Arabidopsis thaliana: one gene and its partners. The protein of the gene in region 2 interacts with the protein of the main gene of each other region in a pairwise test. Each region holds a gene or a part of one and is shown on either strand. Other genes may lie near its edges. The genes, in order: bZIP68, GIP1 and LBD18.

Evidence for each region.
Region 1: the proteins of GIP1 (region 2) and bZIP68 interact in a two-hybrid assay, tested with the Arabidopsis thaliana proteins (one study listed by BioGRID).
Region 3: the proteins of GIP1 (region 2) and LBD18 interact in a two-hybrid assay, tested with the Arabidopsis thaliana proteins (one study listed by BioGRID).

Annotation. Positions count from the first base shown.
Region 1 is NC_003070.9:11,563,613-11,569,279, reverse strand, and holds bZIP68 (basic region/leucine zipper transcription factor 68), read right to left. Parts: upstream 3,787-5,667; 5' UTR 3,608-3,786; intron 3,337-3,607; 5' UTR 3,259-3,336; coding exon 3,160-3,258; intron 3,078-3,159; coding exon 3,018-3,077; intron 2,943-3,017; coding exon 2,868-2,942; intron 2,645-2,867; coding exon 2,555-2,644; intron 2,467-2,554; coding exon 2,407-2,466; intron 2,328-2,406; coding exon 2,158-2,327; intron 2,034-2,157; coding exon 1,979-2,033; intron 1,891-1,978; coding exon 1,860-1,890; intron 1,754-1,859; coding exon 1,521-1,753; intron 1,449-1,520; coding exon 1,371-1,448; intron 1,277-1,370; coding exon 1,151-1,276; intron 1,056-1,150; coding exon 963-1,055; 3' UTR 635-962; downstream 1-634. Other genes in the region: AT1G32160 (beta-casein (DUF760)), read right to left, coding at 1-281, 469-579; AT1G32140 (F-box family protein), read left to right, coding at 4,447-5,637. UniProt on the Arabidopsis thaliana protein: Transcriptional activator that binds to the G-box motif (5'-CACGTG-3') and other cis-acting elements with 5'-ACGT-3' core, such as Hex, C-box and as-1 motifs.
Region 2 is NC_003074.8:4,250,440-4,256,162, forward strand, and holds GIP1 (GBF-interacting protein 1), read right to left. Parts: upstream 3,840-5,723; 5' UTR 3,768-3,839; coding exon 3,590-3,767; intron 3,134-3,589; coding exon 3,090-3,133; intron 2,972-3,089; coding exon 2,905-2,971; intron 2,825-2,904; coding exon 2,698-2,824; intron 2,617-2,697; coding exon 2,363-2,616; intron 2,234-2,362; coding exon 1,993-2,233; intron 1,863-1,992; coding exon 1,700-1,862; intron 1,553-1,699; coding exon 1,145-1,552; intron 1,070-1,144; coding exon 848-1,069; 3' UTR 519-847; downstream 1-518. Other genes in the region: ABCG26 (ABC-2 type transporter family protein), read right to left, coding at 67-264; AT3G13224 (RNA-binding (RRM/RBD/RNP motifs) family protein), read left to right, coding at 4,409-4,464, 4,606-4,646, 4,782-4,945, 5,047-5,152, 5,247-5,416, 5,643-5,723. UniProt on the Arabidopsis thaliana protein: Plant specific protein that enhances G-box-binding factor (GBF) DNA binding activity. May function as a nuclear chaperone or lever and regulate the multimeric state of GBFs. May contribute to bZIP-mediated gene regulation.
Region 3 is NC_003071.7:18,716,583-18,721,231, forward strand, and holds LBD18 (LOB domain-containing protein 18), read left to right. Parts: upstream 1-1,765; 5' UTR 1,766-2,018; coding exon 2,019-2,387; intron 2,388-3,443; coding exon 3,444-3,863; 3' UTR 3,864-4,147; downstream 4,148-4,649. UniProt on the Arabidopsis thaliana protein: Involved in the positive regulation of tracheary element (TE) differentiation. Involved in a positive feedback loop that maintains or promotes NAC030/VND7 expression that regulates TE differentiation-related genes.

The DNA of each region.
Region 1 (5,667 bases), on a different chromosome or scaffold from region 2:
AGAATGTCTTGTGTGGAAGACGAATCAGCTTTACGAGACTCGCTTTCCGCGGCGAATTTCTCGAGCTGCTCATCGACAGTAACGGGTAAAAGATGAGGATGAGTTCTAAGAATCTGCTCCAAAAGCTGTCCTACAGGAGATTCAAGCTCAACAGGAGCAAGAGGAGCAAAGTTCTCATTAGAATCTTCATCTCCTGAAGCTCTCACTGTTACACTTCTTCCTCTGCCATTCTCATTGGTACTACTACTTCCAAGCTTGGGGATACAGAACGAATGGCATCTCTGTAATTTAACAAACGAAAGCAACAAGAAAACTGGAATTAAGATTACACATCAAACCCAAGAGATTCAGAGATTTGGTTCATCAACAGTTACACAGACAATTTCGATAATTCAAAACTCTACACTTAAACCTAACCTAGTAGAGATAGTTTCCACAGATTTCGCAGCGGAAACGAGAGAGTGTTACCTGAGGGAGAAGGGAAGGAGAAGAAGAAGGAGAGAGGAATTTGGAGAAGGAATCGGAGAGATAGTGGTTGAAGCAGAGCCTCCTGCCATGGCTGCTACCGATGGCTTGCATTTTTGTTCCTTCTTTTGATATTTCGAAAAAGTATTCAAAGATTGAGAAGAAGACTCCGAAATTTGTGGCTCACAAACAAAACGCAATCGCGTTTGCGTTTTAAAGAGTAAAGATTAGCGTTTGCGTTTCTCTACTCGAGCTAAACGCAATCGCTAAACTCAATGTGTCTAGAGTTCCGAGTTCATTTTATTGAGAGACAAAAAAGTCCAAAATCTGAAGAAAAGATATACACAGTTTGTTAAAGAAGAGACTATTTTTTTTTTTCATGCTTCCTCCTATTTAAACACTAAAGAAATCACACCAAATCTGGTTCCTAAAATTACATATATCTGTTAGCTGCTGTTCTTGAGTCAAGCTGAGTTGTGGAAGGAACCACGAGCCGTCTACGCAACATCCTGACGTGTACTTCTCTGTGGTTCTTGCTCGTTCTTGTCCAAGTCTCCACCTTCCAGTGACGGGGCTGACGAGAACTTATTCTGCAACAACGGGTACCAGAGAAAACAGCAACTTTCAATTTATGTTCAAGCAGATTATGGATGTTGTAGAAGAAGATTTTATTGTAATCTTTTACCTTGAGAGAGCTATTTTCAGCAAGAAGCTCTTCATATTGGCTTTTAAGCTTGTTAATTTCTGCTCTAAGACTTGAGTTCTCTCCATTCAAAACCTCTGCTCGTTGTGCTAGCTCATCACACTCCGCCTGAACACAGAAGAGAAAAGGAAAAGCTTTTGATCATTCATACTTGATAGGCATGATGATGCTAGATCAGCTTGAAGAAACATGTTTATGTTACCTGTTTACGCAACCTGGATCTACGAGCAGATTCCCTATTGGATTGCTTCCGTCTCTGTCGCTTAATCTCTCTCTCATCCTGATTTCACAAAACAATCAAACACGCTGCTTGGATAAACGTAAAGGAGAAGTAAGATTAGGAGATACTTACAGAAACCTGTAACCATGGCTGTGATTGGGAACCATCTACTACAACTCCAGGAACTGCTCCAGAAACATTCCCATGACCGCTCCAATAATCCATTCCGATATTTAGATTTGTTGGTGGGCCTGGAACACCTGTAGCCGACACTGGCATGATAGCGACGGTCTGGTTCACTGGTAGATTACTTCCATTACGGGGTGGTCCATGAGCAGAACCACCACTCTCTGAAGCTGTTTCACCTTGAATTACGAAACAAGAAAGAGAAACCTCAAAATAAGCAGATTCTAACATGTACGTCATTATTACATGTTAAGAGATGAGAACTAAAAAGCTATATTAGCTAACCATCCTTCCCGTTGTGTCTAGAGCCAGAGTCCTACAAAAATCAATACCATATTCATAAACGCTCCTTAATTTTCATATGAAATCCAACGCAACGATTTAATGAAATGCTAGAAACTTACGTTTTGTGAATTTGCATCACTTCCGTCACTTGATCCATCAGAACCGCTCTCAGCACTGTTAAACCGAGAACAAATCAGACAATTTCAACAAAATTATCCAATAACATTATCATAGCTAGAGCTAGCAATCATAAGTATTCATGCCAATATGATGTTCATACAAATATGAAGTCACATGCCTTTTAGAACAAGCTCCATTAGCTGATGCTCCTGAGTTTTTTCCAGCTTCATTGTTCTTTCCTATAATCATATTCAAACTTCCCAAGCTTCCTTTTGATCTTTTGATTGGCAATTTTTCCTTCCCATCAGATGGTTTACCATCACCCTCAATAACACTTCCAGTATTACCCTGAATCCAAAACATTCTTCAAGCAAGATCCCATCTGACCCATACTCTAATAAAAACAGTGATAACAGAGAAAACTCACAGAAGCTTCAGCCATTCCATTAGGAGAAGGCATTGCATAGGGACTATATGGATAAGACCCCTGTTGCAGCACGGAACATGTTAACAGAAACTACAAAAACATTCACTTTTTTGAGTAACATAACTGAACATCCAAACTGTAACAGTACCGGAGGTAATGAAGGATGAGCATACATGCCACCTGGAGGATACATCGTAACATACGGATGAGGCGGTGTTCCATAAGGCGGCATCATATGCTACAAAAAGGAAATAACAATGTCTTAAGTTGTCGTTACATTCATTCATTAACCTAACGTACTATATATGGTAGAAAATATTAATCTCGATTAAATCTACACAAGTGACCAAGGGAATTTATCCCAAGTATGCAAATATCTATAGTAAAAGTTTTGGGACTCGTCAACTAATCCCCTGAAGCTCCAAAGAATGCTTAAAATCATCTAAAAAAATTCGATTTACCTGAACGCCCCACATATAAGGATGAGGTTGAGGACTTGATGCTACATAACCATGAGGCGGCATAGGAGAATAAGCCTGTTCAACAAGAAAAACATGAACCCCATAACACCAAAATGCAACAAAGAAACAAAGAATAATCTCGTATTAGACCTGGAAGCCAGACCAATCTTGAGTAACAGCCACTCCAGCACTCACAGCAGAAGAAGGTTCCTAAAAACACAAAACATTAAACATCAAAGCATGACACTAACAAAAAACACTTTGCTAGACCAAATTTACACCAAAAGCAAACCTGTGAAACAACAGTAGCAGGAGCAGATGAAGAAGTCGAAGGCGGTGTAGTCTTAGGTTCTTTCTCTTTACCTGATTTTTCCATCTCACTGCTACCCATTAATCACATTCACCAATTTCCAAAACCAGTGAAAGCTTCACACAAGAACAGAACAAGTTCTGCTTATAAATAGAAAACCTACCAAAATCCAACAATCAGATTTCTCCAACTTAACATTGATCAATACAGTTCCTAAGCATATGAACTGATAAAACCAAGGAAGCTAAAAAGGTCACATTTTTATCTCAGGGTACAAATAAAAAACGTAACTTTTTAGTTAATAAATGCCACGATAACAAAAAATCTAAAGAACTACACCGATTCCAGAATCTATGCAATGTAAGAAACTAAACTGTTACTGAATTATTGTTCAAACGTAATTAAAACTATAGATCAGGGGAAAAATTACCTGAAGATCTGTAATGTTTGAGGAATCTGAGGAAAAACAGAGATGTGAAATGAATATAAAAAAAAGGTTTGATTTTTGCAGAAATTGGAGTGAGATTGATTAGAATCAAAAGAGGTAGAAATTTTTTGGTGATTGGTTCGTGTCGTGTTTCTGACGGGGAAGAGGAGGAGGAAGCTGCGTGGGCTTGACAGGGAATATATCATTTAAAATTAAGCCCAAATCTTTCTTTTATTTATGCAATTAACCCCATAAAACCTATCAATTGCATTGCTGTTCCCACATTTTATCAATTACATATAAAGATCTTTATTTCTTACAAATTTAGAAGAAATAGTGAACCAGATTTAAACCGGATTATTGTTGACGTGAGGCTTACGGGATTCGATAGAGAAAAAGTAGAAATAGTGTGAATTCTAGGGTTTAATAAAGGATTATTAGACTCACGAAGAAGAAGAAGATAGTAGTATTCCTATCATATTAAAAACAAATACGTATATGTGTAAGATCCACCATAGTCGATACAAACTAATAACTCCGATGATAGCAATTAGCAAGAATGCTTTCTCATAAAAGGAAATTACCATTTTACTAACTTAGTGAGAAAGTTTTTTACTTTTAACAATTAATATCGATTATAATTTATAAACCACATAAATATTATTATTTTTGTTGCAAAATAAACCACATATTTATTTATCTTATGAAAGTAAGAATTTTTTTTTGTATAGAAAAAGTAAAACCCTAGTGAGGAAGGTGTGTCTTCTTTCTGATGCACATATAATCCTCGTAAAAAAGAGTGGTGGGCGTGAAAGTTAACCCTAATTTTCTATTTGCAAACAATGACGATGATGTCCGACCTTTCACTTGATTTAGTCGAAGAGATATTGTGTAGGGTTCCGATAACTTCTCTTAAAGCAGTGAGATCTAGTTGCAAACTATGGAACGTTCTTTCCAAGAACCGGATTTTATGTAAAACAGAAGCTAGAAATCAGTTTTTAGGGTTCACGATAATGAATCATAGGCTTTATTCCATGAGATTCAATCTCCATGGAATCGGCCTCAATGAAAACAGTGAAGAGTTCATTGATCCATCTATAAAGCCAATAGGTAATTTACTTAATCAAGTCGAGATATCTAAAGTGTTTTATTGCGAAGGTTTATTGTTATGCGTCACAAGGAACCACTCAAGCAAGCTCGTAGTTTGGAACCCGTATTTGGGAGAAATTCGTTGGATCAAAACTAGGAATGATTACCACATAGGCGTTACATATGCTCTCGGGTACGACAACAACAAGAACCACATGATCTTGAGGTTTTTTTCTGAACAAGGCTACTACGAGATTTACGACATGAACTCTTCTGACTCATGGGATTGTTTTTATGGCATTCCCAACAAGGGGTTAAAATGTTATCAGCCCGGCGCGTCGTTAAATGGAAATGCTTATTTTTTGACTGAGGGAAGAGAAGTAATGGAAGGGTATGATTGCTTACTCGGTTTTGATTTTACAACAAAGAAATTTGGACCACTTCTTTCTTTGTCGTTTTCGCATGATTTTATAGAGACTGGGAGACTATCTTGTGTTAAAGGAGAGAAACTTGCGGTCTTATATCAGCGCTGCTATACCTATGAGATGGAGGTATGGGTGACAACTAAGATAGAGCCGAATGCGGTGTCATGGAGCAAATTCTTAGCAGTTGAAATGGAACCACTCACTAGTCTAAAGTTTAACGATGATTCTGGCAGTTTCTTCATTGACGAAGAGAAGAAAATCGTCGTGGTTTTTGATATAGACGAATCTGAACGCAACAATACGGCTTACATCATTGGAGATTATGGATGCTTGAAAGAAGTTGATCTTGATGAAGTTGTGAACCCACAAGAATCTGTGGAGGTCGGAGACCGCATTTATTCTTTTTCACCATTTGTGTGCTCTTGCTCTTATGTTCCAAGTTTAGTGAAATTTAAAGAAGATGCAGAACATGAAAGGAAAGATAAGAAGAGGAAGAGTAAGAGGAAGCGAACCAACAAGGTGTATCTCTACTAGTTGAAGGAAAGAAGA
Region 2 (5,723 bases):
AAAGAGGCGAAACCAATAAGCTTTGTCTTAATGAAGGAAAATCGAAAGCAAAAGAGAAAGTTGAACCTTGAGAAAGATGGGAAGAGGGGCATCTTCGAGAGGATAAGTGGAAACGAACTCTTCATCAATGTCAATCTCGGATGAGTATTGGTTTCTGAGGTAAGCTTGTGGCATGAACTCCATGTTGTGAACTATGCCATTGCTTCCTGTAATCTGCATTACATGATTCTCTTCAACTTCTTCTGTTGATCTTCTGATCTCCATGTTATCTTTCTTATTCTTGTTCCACAAGAAAATTGTTATGAATGTAGGCTTGTGTTATATAACGGAAGAAGTGTGTGGATCAACTGTGTCAAACCTGAAACTTTCTTGCTTTTTGTGTTCTCTTTTTCTCTCTGTTTATCAGGGTGTTAGTTTGGTAGACCACATTCTTTCAATGTTTTTGTATTAAATTGAATGCATTTGTTGACTTGAACAAGGAGCAAATGAAACTATATTAATTTCAATATACTTTATATGGTACTAAAATCATTTACATTTATCGACTTGGCTTGCTCATTGACGATCACAACGTACGAGAATAAATGTCCACTTGCTCATATAAACTGATCACTTGATTATATTGTAAGATTCGGAAGAATTACAGATAAACGAGATCAAAGCGGTTTGTGGCACTCACAAAAATTGAAAAAACAAAAGGCACCAATTCTCTTGTCCCCTTGCCAAATACTAATCTTCTTCTTGGGGGGTGATGTATCCTAAGTATGTACACAAAATCACTCAAAATTCCAGACTTAAACATCTCGTACCAATCTGAATATGCATCTTTCTAGTAATACTCCTTGACCTAGTAGTTGTTTCCCAGATTTGTTCGTGCAGCTTGAGGTTGCTGATTAGTTACGTGCGATGGTCCTATGGGTTCAGTCCTCGCAGATATAGATAGAGGCGCCAGTATTGGCTGTGTTTGTTGATATAACCCACGGATCCCAGCCTGCATGGTTGGGAAAGCTATAGGCTGACCTTGAAGGGATAAGTTGTACATGGGACTGGCCTGCAGATTGGCTAGACTCTGCTACATGGAGCCGTGTTAAAAAACTATAGCATAACATGCAATGACAGTGGGGAGAGTCAGAGAAAAACTAACCAGTGGTCCAGTTGTGTACATGTTTTCCTTCTTTTCTTCCTTGTGAGTAGCATTTATGGTGGCTGCTGATGGGATGTGGTTGAAGGCGTATGAAGTATATGAGAATGGAATCGTGGTAGGTGGAGAGTTTCCAATGTCGCTTCCGGGTTTGATGTGAGTGAGAGGTAGTTCAGCCCCTGGAGGTGCTGGAGCATCATCTCCGGGTGGTAAGTAAGACTGTTGTTGGAACCCATTTGGGCTCAAGTACTGGTGAATGTATGGTTGCGGCATATAATAAGGGGGGAAATATGGACCATAAGGGAAATAGTTAAGAGAGTATTGTTGCCTATAAAGGTGCATTGCCTGTTGAGCGGCTGCTAAGGAATACTGATCAGGATAGGAGATAGGTGGAGCATCACACTTTGCAGCCTGCAATTATCAACAAAATATAAAAGACAGTGATTAAGCATTGTGTTCATATTTCCTGGCTAGAAAAACCACGCGGTTGGCCTGATGCTGACAATGAATGCACAAGACTAAAAAGACATTGTGTGGGGCTTCTTGATAATAACCAACCTGATGAGTGTCTGTGATTGGTAAAACCTCGTTCTTTACTTTATCTCCTTCTGAACCTTCTTCAGGGAGAACAGTTTGATCTGGCTGCAATGTTAACTCGTTCTGAGCTGCTGAATTTGAAATCTCATGATTCTTATCCTGAGAAAAAGTTGATATATCTTTCCTGCAAACCAAGTTTCATATAAAGGTATTCATATCAGAAACTCATTCATCTGAGACTCTAGATCAATTCATGAGAATATTGAAGCAAGTAACACTGTAAGATTTACTCAAAGTAGCTATTAGTCACCAACCTAGCTGATGCGGCTGTCCCATGAGAAGACTCAATATTGGAGTCATCACACCCAATAGTAAACTTGTCAGAAGATGCCTCTCTCACAAAATTAGAATCGAAGCTCCCAAATGTCAGACCATTTTCCAGCATTTTGGCAACCTGAATGTGGACAGGAAATGTTACGTGCGGCCGTTCACCAACATCCGACTTGAGAAGCGACTCATTCTTGCATTTACTGGCTGCAACCTCACTCTTAATGACTGTTCCAAATAAAGCCATACGTCGAATCACATAAGAGGCTGTAATCAAACTCAGGAACAACTTAACAGAATACAGAATGCACTTAAAGCAACATTAGCAGGCAAGTAATTATATGGTATAATTTATACCTCGCTCGGACTGTTGTGGGATCTGAAAAGTTTCAACTACAGCATATTGAGTATCGTTTTCTACAACAGAATCTGATACAGCCACTGATACACTACTTTCTTTAGACTTATCCGGCTCAACAACATCCTTAGAAGAAGAAGTAGCCTTGGAGAGAGGCTGTTCCTCTGTGTCCACCTTGTCCACAGGGGATATGATAGCATCTTGAATTTTCTGGTTACTGATTCCACTTGGAAGACTTATAGGGTTCGGGGCCCTGAAAAAGAATAGAATGCGTTAGGAAGCCCATATCCAAAGAGGGAATTAAAGACATAGACAGAATTAAAAGTATGGATACATTATGGAAGAAGGTTTTGTGTCGTTTCTTGCATTGTTAGGAGCAGACGAAGCAGTTCCAGAACCTCCTATTATGTGATTAGCTCCACTCTGCTTTTTAAAAGCTGCACTTCTTCCATTACTGGCATCTGAATCAACAAAGAGCTTGAATCAAGGAAGGAAATATAGAACACAAGTTTAGAAGTAAAAGAACATAAACCACAATGACCTGTGTAACTTGAAGCAAAGTTCTTCCGTCCAGTCCGGCCCCTTCCTTGTGTATTTGGCACTAAATTCTACAACAGGTAATACACATAAAGGCATAAGAGAAACGAGATGATGTAAGCTAAACAGAGAACTCAAGACCACACTTAAAATGCAAAGTAAGGATTCAAAAGAACATAGGAAAGCTACCTCTTTCTTTCTCTCCCGTTTGCTTCTCACCTCATGAAATGTATCTGAAAGATCAGTAATAATATATGAGTACATGTCTGCTATCAAAGTACATGATTATGTTGATCTTGAAACAGTAGACAGAATCAAAACTTAACCCAGATGCCCAATCTCAATCAAAGCTAAACAGAAATTCCCTTTCCACATTCCAGCTAGATTGGTAAAGATTTAAAACGACAGTTTCTTAGTCATGAACCCAAATTCTACATATTCCATTTCAGTAAAAAAGATTCCTTATTTGAACATCCCCAGACATATTATACCAATTAGAAATCTAAATAAACAAAACATAAGATTCTAAGCATAACACACAGATTCTAAGACAAGACCAAAATCGACAAAGGGCATTAAATAGCAAAATCCAAAACAAAACCCTAGGAGAAGCACACGCTCAATACAACAAAAAGGAAGTAAAAACACTAAAACAAAAACAAATGCTGAAGCTTTCTCAGTAAAACAACCTAAATAGAGAAGCTTCTGAGTGGTCTCATGTGGATCACTGAAACACTCCTTAAAGACAGAGAAGATATCCTCGTCGGAATGTTGTTTACCGGTAACCTCTCTGATGTTTTGAATGGTTTGAAGCAGATCAGCCGGAATAGAAACCCTAGAGCCGCCATCGCCGCTGATCCTGCTCATGTTGGTTACAGAGAGAAAGAGAAGCGGAGGGAGGAGGAGAGAGGAAATATGGGTTGAACATAAAGACTTCGTATATAGTACTATTATTTATTTCCGTACAATCTACCGCTTAATGTCTCTCTCTACGTATATTTATACGCTGACGTCACTGTTTATCAATTTCCTCCTCATTATTTGATTGAGTACTATTATTTATTTCCGTACAATCTACCGCTTAATGTCTCTCTCTACGTATATTTATACGCTGACGTCACTGTTTATCGATTTCCTCCTCATTATTTGATTGTTTTGTACGCGTTTAATGGAAGGAGAGACAACAAAGTTGATATGGCCGAGTTGGTCTAAGGCGCCAGATTAAGGTTCTGGTCCGAAAGGGCGTGGGTTCAAATCCCACTGTCAACAATTTACTTTTTTTTTTTTTGTCTTTTTACAAGAATAGGAAAAATAGACAGCTGTGTAAAAAAATATTAACTTTGTTTTGTTTCCACAAGTCGATGTCCAAATTTAAGAATATATATATATTACACGATTTAGCTATCTCCTCTAATTAGATGAAGAGACATCAGATCTTATCAAAACCCTAGCTTTCGGTGTCTCTCTCGATCCTTTAGCTCAATCGAAAACTGAATTTAGGAGCTGCGATGGGTTCCAGATCTCGTAATGATAATTTCCAGTCCGGCGATGGCGCTAGTCCTGGGTACGTTTACTTCTCCTACCTCTTGCATGTTTGATTCCACAGGATTAAGGGAAATATCTCATAATCTGTTGGCTTTGTAACTCTTTTTATATTGTTGGTTAAGGTTTAATTTATGTTTTGCTTGGAATTTTTGTGTTGCAGGAAAATATTCATTGGAGGATTGCACAAAGACACGACTAATAGTAAGTTTCTTCCTCTTGTTTTGTTCTAGAAATTGCGTTTCTAAGTTTTGTTATGTTATGGATTCTTGTGTGTGTTTCTGATGTTAGACCTGTTGGAATGTTGATTCTACTTGCTCACTTTGGTTTTGATTGCAGCTGTGTTCAATAAGCACTTTGGCAAGTACGGGGAGATTACAGATTCTGTCATTATGCGAGATCGACATACTGGACAACCTAGGGGTTTCGGTTTCATCACCTTCGCTGACCCTTCTGTTGTTGACAAAGTTATCGAAGATACTCATGTCATCAATGGCAAACAGGTCGGCCACTTCTCTTTTCTTCCTTCACTAGCTTATAGTGTTCATTTTTAGTAGGGTGTTGGGTCTTGATCAATACTTTTTTCCTTGTTTTGATGGAACAGGTTGAGATCAAAAGGACTATTCCGAAAGGTGCTGGTGGCAATCAGTCAAAGGACATCAAAACAAAGAAGATTTTCGTTGGTGGTATACCCTCAACGGTTACAGAAGGTAGACCTCCCTCTTGGCATGATATTTTTTTGCTTTCCATGAGAATGCTGGTTTCCTGTCCTTATTGAAGTTGGTTTCTTTTTCTGTTGATCAGATGAACTTAAGGACTTCTTTGCCAAGTATGGGAACGTGGTGGAGCACCAGGTTATTCGAGACCATGAAACAAACAGGTCCAGAGGTTTTGGTTTTGTAATTTTTGATAGCGAAGAAGTCGTAGATGAATTATTGTCCAAAGGAAACATGATCGATATGGCAGACACTCAGGTAAGCTTGTACAAATGGGGATTAGAATTTTGGTTCATGATGACATATTTATCTTGGTTTCAATTTGATATTTTCTCCTTGTTCCTTTCATTATACACGTTTAACTTAGTTAGAATTCTACCCACTAGCTTACCAAATGTAAGGAGCTTGTCACAGTAAGATAGGAAATCCCTGCTATAGTTTGGGTCCTTAGCATAGCTAGGTTAATTAAGTTGCTTTGTTGTAGGTGGAGATCAAGAAAGCTGAACCAAAGAAATCTCTAAACCGTTCACCTCCTTCTTACGGTAGTCACCCTAGAGGTCGTTCT
Region 3 (4,649 bases), on a different chromosome or scaffold from region 2:
GACACCGTATAATTTTCTAATAATATTTTTTAGTAGATATTGACCAGTGGATTTTAGAGTTCAAAGGAATAATAGGGTCGTAGGATGATAGGATCAACCCCCAATTTGAATATATGGTTAAACAACGCATGTGTGTATATATAATTTTTAAATTACGTCTATTAATTTGTAAGACAGATCAATTTATACAATCCTTATATATATTCCTTACCAAATTCGACGAGAATGTTAGATTTAGGGTTTGACTGCACGAGTGGAATAAAAAGTTTCATCAACAAAAGCGAAGTGATTAATTATATTTTATTTTTTTAATTAACTATATAATGAGCTATATATCATATATATCAAGAAACAATCTAAGAGAAAATATAGTGAACTAAAATAGTTTATGTTTGATCGAAAATGGTCGACCCTTTCTGTACATATATCCCCAAGATTTGAGGTACCATGTCACTTCCACCTCCTACACTATCTCATCTCTAATTTATTACGCTATTATATAATTCGACGATGTTTATGACTAATCAATAAACTAAAAAAATAAAAATAAATATGATAGCAAGAATTGTCTTTTGACTCATGCTGTTATGCATTCATGCCCAACACAATTTTTTTGGTCAACCATATTTTTACCTAAATCTAAAACTCGAATACGAAACTCAAGTTCAAGAGCTTAACATTTTTTTTTTCATTCATTTATTTAACAGTATTTATTTTATAAAAAAAATTACAACAAACTTCAATTTTTTTTACTAATAAAATGAAGGATTATTACACATTTAAGAAAAACATACGCGTGGAGGAGACATTGAGGAAGCACAGAGGCGTTACTAACTTTCTAAGGGAACGGCGCGTGGGACCCACGTGAAAAATGACGTCATTCGTTTCTTCGATCTTTCACTCGCTAGGCAGTTACAATCATTATTGACATGTGTACTTTTGTTGTTGGTACACGTAACTACGTTTTATTTCCATTTCAAACCGAGAAATTTAGACATTTTGACTCCCGGTTCACTCTGATCTCGTTTCTAAACCGGAATCGAATCCATTACACTTGATTTTGGAAAACGTGAATGCTCATTTTAACTTAGAATGAATGATTTAACATAGTTAATGCTCTTTTTATAAATTTGGAAAGATAAGTTGGCGAACGAGTCATTTTCTAGTAAGCGTAACTAACTATTTCATCAATTAATTATGAATTTTCTTCTTCTTATCAAAAAGGTCTTTCTTCAATTACATAAGCTTTTGCGTTTTTATTCCGATAATATAAAATTTTGAAAAATCGAATCATTAAAGAAAATAACTAAGAACTGGCATTTTGTATACACGCCATGTATATATATATATATAACTATTTTATCAATAGTTACAAATTGTAAAATTTTAGTGTTTGATGGCTAATTTAAGTTGGACCTCAAGTCAATAGTTTAAAAACTATGCCAAAAAAAAACTTAATTAAGGGTATAATATTTTATTTCATTTATCCATCTTGTTCGTAATTAAATTCATGAGATATCTCCAACAATTACAGTTCACATGTATATTCACAGTAAATAAAGAGAAAGCAAGAAGTTTATTTTTCTTGGAAAATAGTTTTTTTTATCACGAGATGTTCCAAGGGATATTAGGTAATCAAACGATTTTCCCCCTTTTTTCCTCTTTTGATTCATAAATAATATAATTATGTAGTTAAAGATTGTGAAAAAGAATAATAGAAGAGGCTTATCGCATGTTTGCTTCACGCAAACAACTAAATGTGAGAGAAAAAGAGAAAATAGAGAGAGATCGTTTTTTTTTTGTTAGCTTTGTCGTCGCTTGGCTTTAAAGACTTTCTTCTCTATACTCTCCTCTTACCAAACCCTAATTCTCCTCTCTTGATTCCCGTTTCTCAAATCTTCCTCTCATCTTCAAACAATACCAAACATAATCTCCATATTTTTACTCAACAAGTTTAAAACCCTAACGCAAGAGTGGGGAGATAGAGTAACAACTCGTTAATTGGGGGGTGGCCGGTCATGAGCGGTGGTGGGAACACAATCACTGCCGTGGGAGGCGGAGGTGGTGGTTGTGGTGGAGGAGGCAGCAGTGGGGGAGGAGGAAGTAGTGGCGGTGGTGGTGGTGGGCCATGTGGTGCTTGTAAGTTTCTAAGGAGGAAGTGTGTGCCGGGATGTATATTTGCACCGTACTTTGACTCCGAGCAAGGATCGGCTTATTTTGCGGCGGTGCATAAAGTGTTCGGAGCCAGTAACGTCTCGAAGCTTCTATTACACATACCGGTTCATCGAAGGTCCGATGCTGTCGTAACAATTTGCTATGAAGCTCAGGCTAGGATAAGGGATCCTATCTACGGTTGCGTCGCTCACATCTTTGCTCTTCAGCAACAGGTAATTAATAATTTATTAAACTTTTTCTCAATAGTAAAATGCGTTGGAAATCAATATATGTGAAACATACTAATTGACTTAAACTAACCACAATTTATTTTGGTGACAGTTACAATTTTCTTTTTCTTTTCCAAAGTAGCAAACTTCGGTTTCGTTTGGGAATAATCTATAATTTTAAACTCATGCAAATTCGTTTTAGTATGAACAATTTTTTGGTGTGCATGAAATGAAATCGTCGAGTTTTTCGAGAGTTTGCACTTTCTTGAGTTTTCTTGGTTTTGCAATCTTCTACTTTGAGTATAAAGGAAAAAAAAAGCATGGTTGTCTGTTTAATTACTTATGAAATCTTTTAATATAATCTATTATGCAATTATATAAAAATGATACGGTCGTGACAAGTCCCATTGCAAAGTTACGAAGTTTTGTTTTGCTGGTTTTCGGGAATTGGTCGGGTACAATTTTCTGTGTTGATACGTATATACACCATTATATTTTTTCCACTAAAAACCGTTTTCTTTCTTGTGAAAACTGAAGATAAATCATTTTGTTTCTTCGCAATTTTTGTTAACCGTGTAATAAGGGGATGATCTTATATGATGCGTGTCATTTTATTTTTTTACTATTTATGTTAATAGTTTACATAATTTGTGGCCTAACAACCTTAGCAAATCGAACATGCATTAATTCCATTCCTGAATGCTATAGTTAAAGGTGAATAACAGGTAATTGCTTAAACTGTTAGAAATGTGATAATTACATGAAATCATAAATTTTAAAATAACACGTACTAACTAGCTATTTATAGGATATCTTCTTAAAAAAACAAAAAACAAAAAAAACTATTTTAGGATAATTAAGCTATCACGTTAAGCGTATAAAAAACTACTGTAAGAGATAGAGATTTCACTGATCAAACTAAGTGCATAATATTTGCAATAAATTGTAAGCCATTAATCGCATTCTTACGTAAATTCCAGAAAAGTACAGGTTTAGCCTTAAACCTATATGTTTACATATCATGCAAAACAAATTCTAACTCGTAAAGTGTATACATAGGTGGTGAATCTACAGGCAGAAGTTTCTTACTTACAAGCCCATTTGGCATCACTAGAGCTACCTCAACCGCAAACGCGGCCACAGCCTATGCCGCAACCGCAACCGCTCTTTTTCACTCCTCCTCCCCCTCTTGCCATAACCGATTTACCTGCATCAGTCTCACCCTTGCCCTCAACCTATGACCTAGCATCCATCTTCGATCAAACGACGTCTTCTTCGGCATGGGCCACGCAACAACGAAGATTCATTGATCCACGTCACCAATACGGTGTATCATCGTCTTCCTCTTCTGTCGCCGTGGGGCTCGGTGGTGAAAACAGTCATGACCTCCAAGCATTAGCACATGAACTCCTCCATAGACAAGGATCTCCTCCCCCGGCAGCTACCGACCACTCGCCGTCTCGAACTATGTCTAGATGAGTTGGTTTTGATCGATACATCTCCGCATTGTTATTAGGAAAATTAAATTACAACTCAATAAGATTTAATTTTCTTTGAAAGTACTGATTATAAATTTTCTAACATTTATATTGTATTACTACTGTATTTTCACTTCTTTTGACTGACGAGTATTTTCTTTCTTCTTTGCCTTTACTTTTTTTCTCCTATTACGTAAGTTTTTGAATATATCCCGAGTCATACATACGTTTCCTAATCAGTTGTATATACTCCATCTTCTTATTTCTGCCTCGGGCATTTTCTCGCAAGGCCCATTCATATTGTGGGCTTTGACCTTCAACTTTTTTACTTTTGTCAAGCCTTTTTTAATCCCTTACATTTCAACAAAAAAGAATAAAAGAGGAAGTAAATTACAGAGTTATGGTCTTATGGCTGAATTAAACAGACATCAACATCTGCAAAGAGCACGAAGTGAATTTACACTATGCTTCTCGAGAAATATCCTTACTCACTAATAGAGTTGGGTTTCTCTTGTATTCTTTCTTTATAGAAGATATTTCCACGGGACTGGATTTACAATATCAATTGGAGTTGTGTAGTTTCTTAAGATATTTCCTACGAAATTGTCATTTGGTAATTGGTAATATATATAAGATTGTATCGCATGATGATCTTTACGGGCCTGATGTTATCTAAAACAATTTGGTAGTGGATATTTTTCAAGTTCTAAATTCCTTGGTGAGGATGTTTTTACTTGTATAAGTGTTTGAAAGAAAAATTGGTCTTGACGATTTTAGTGTAATCGAT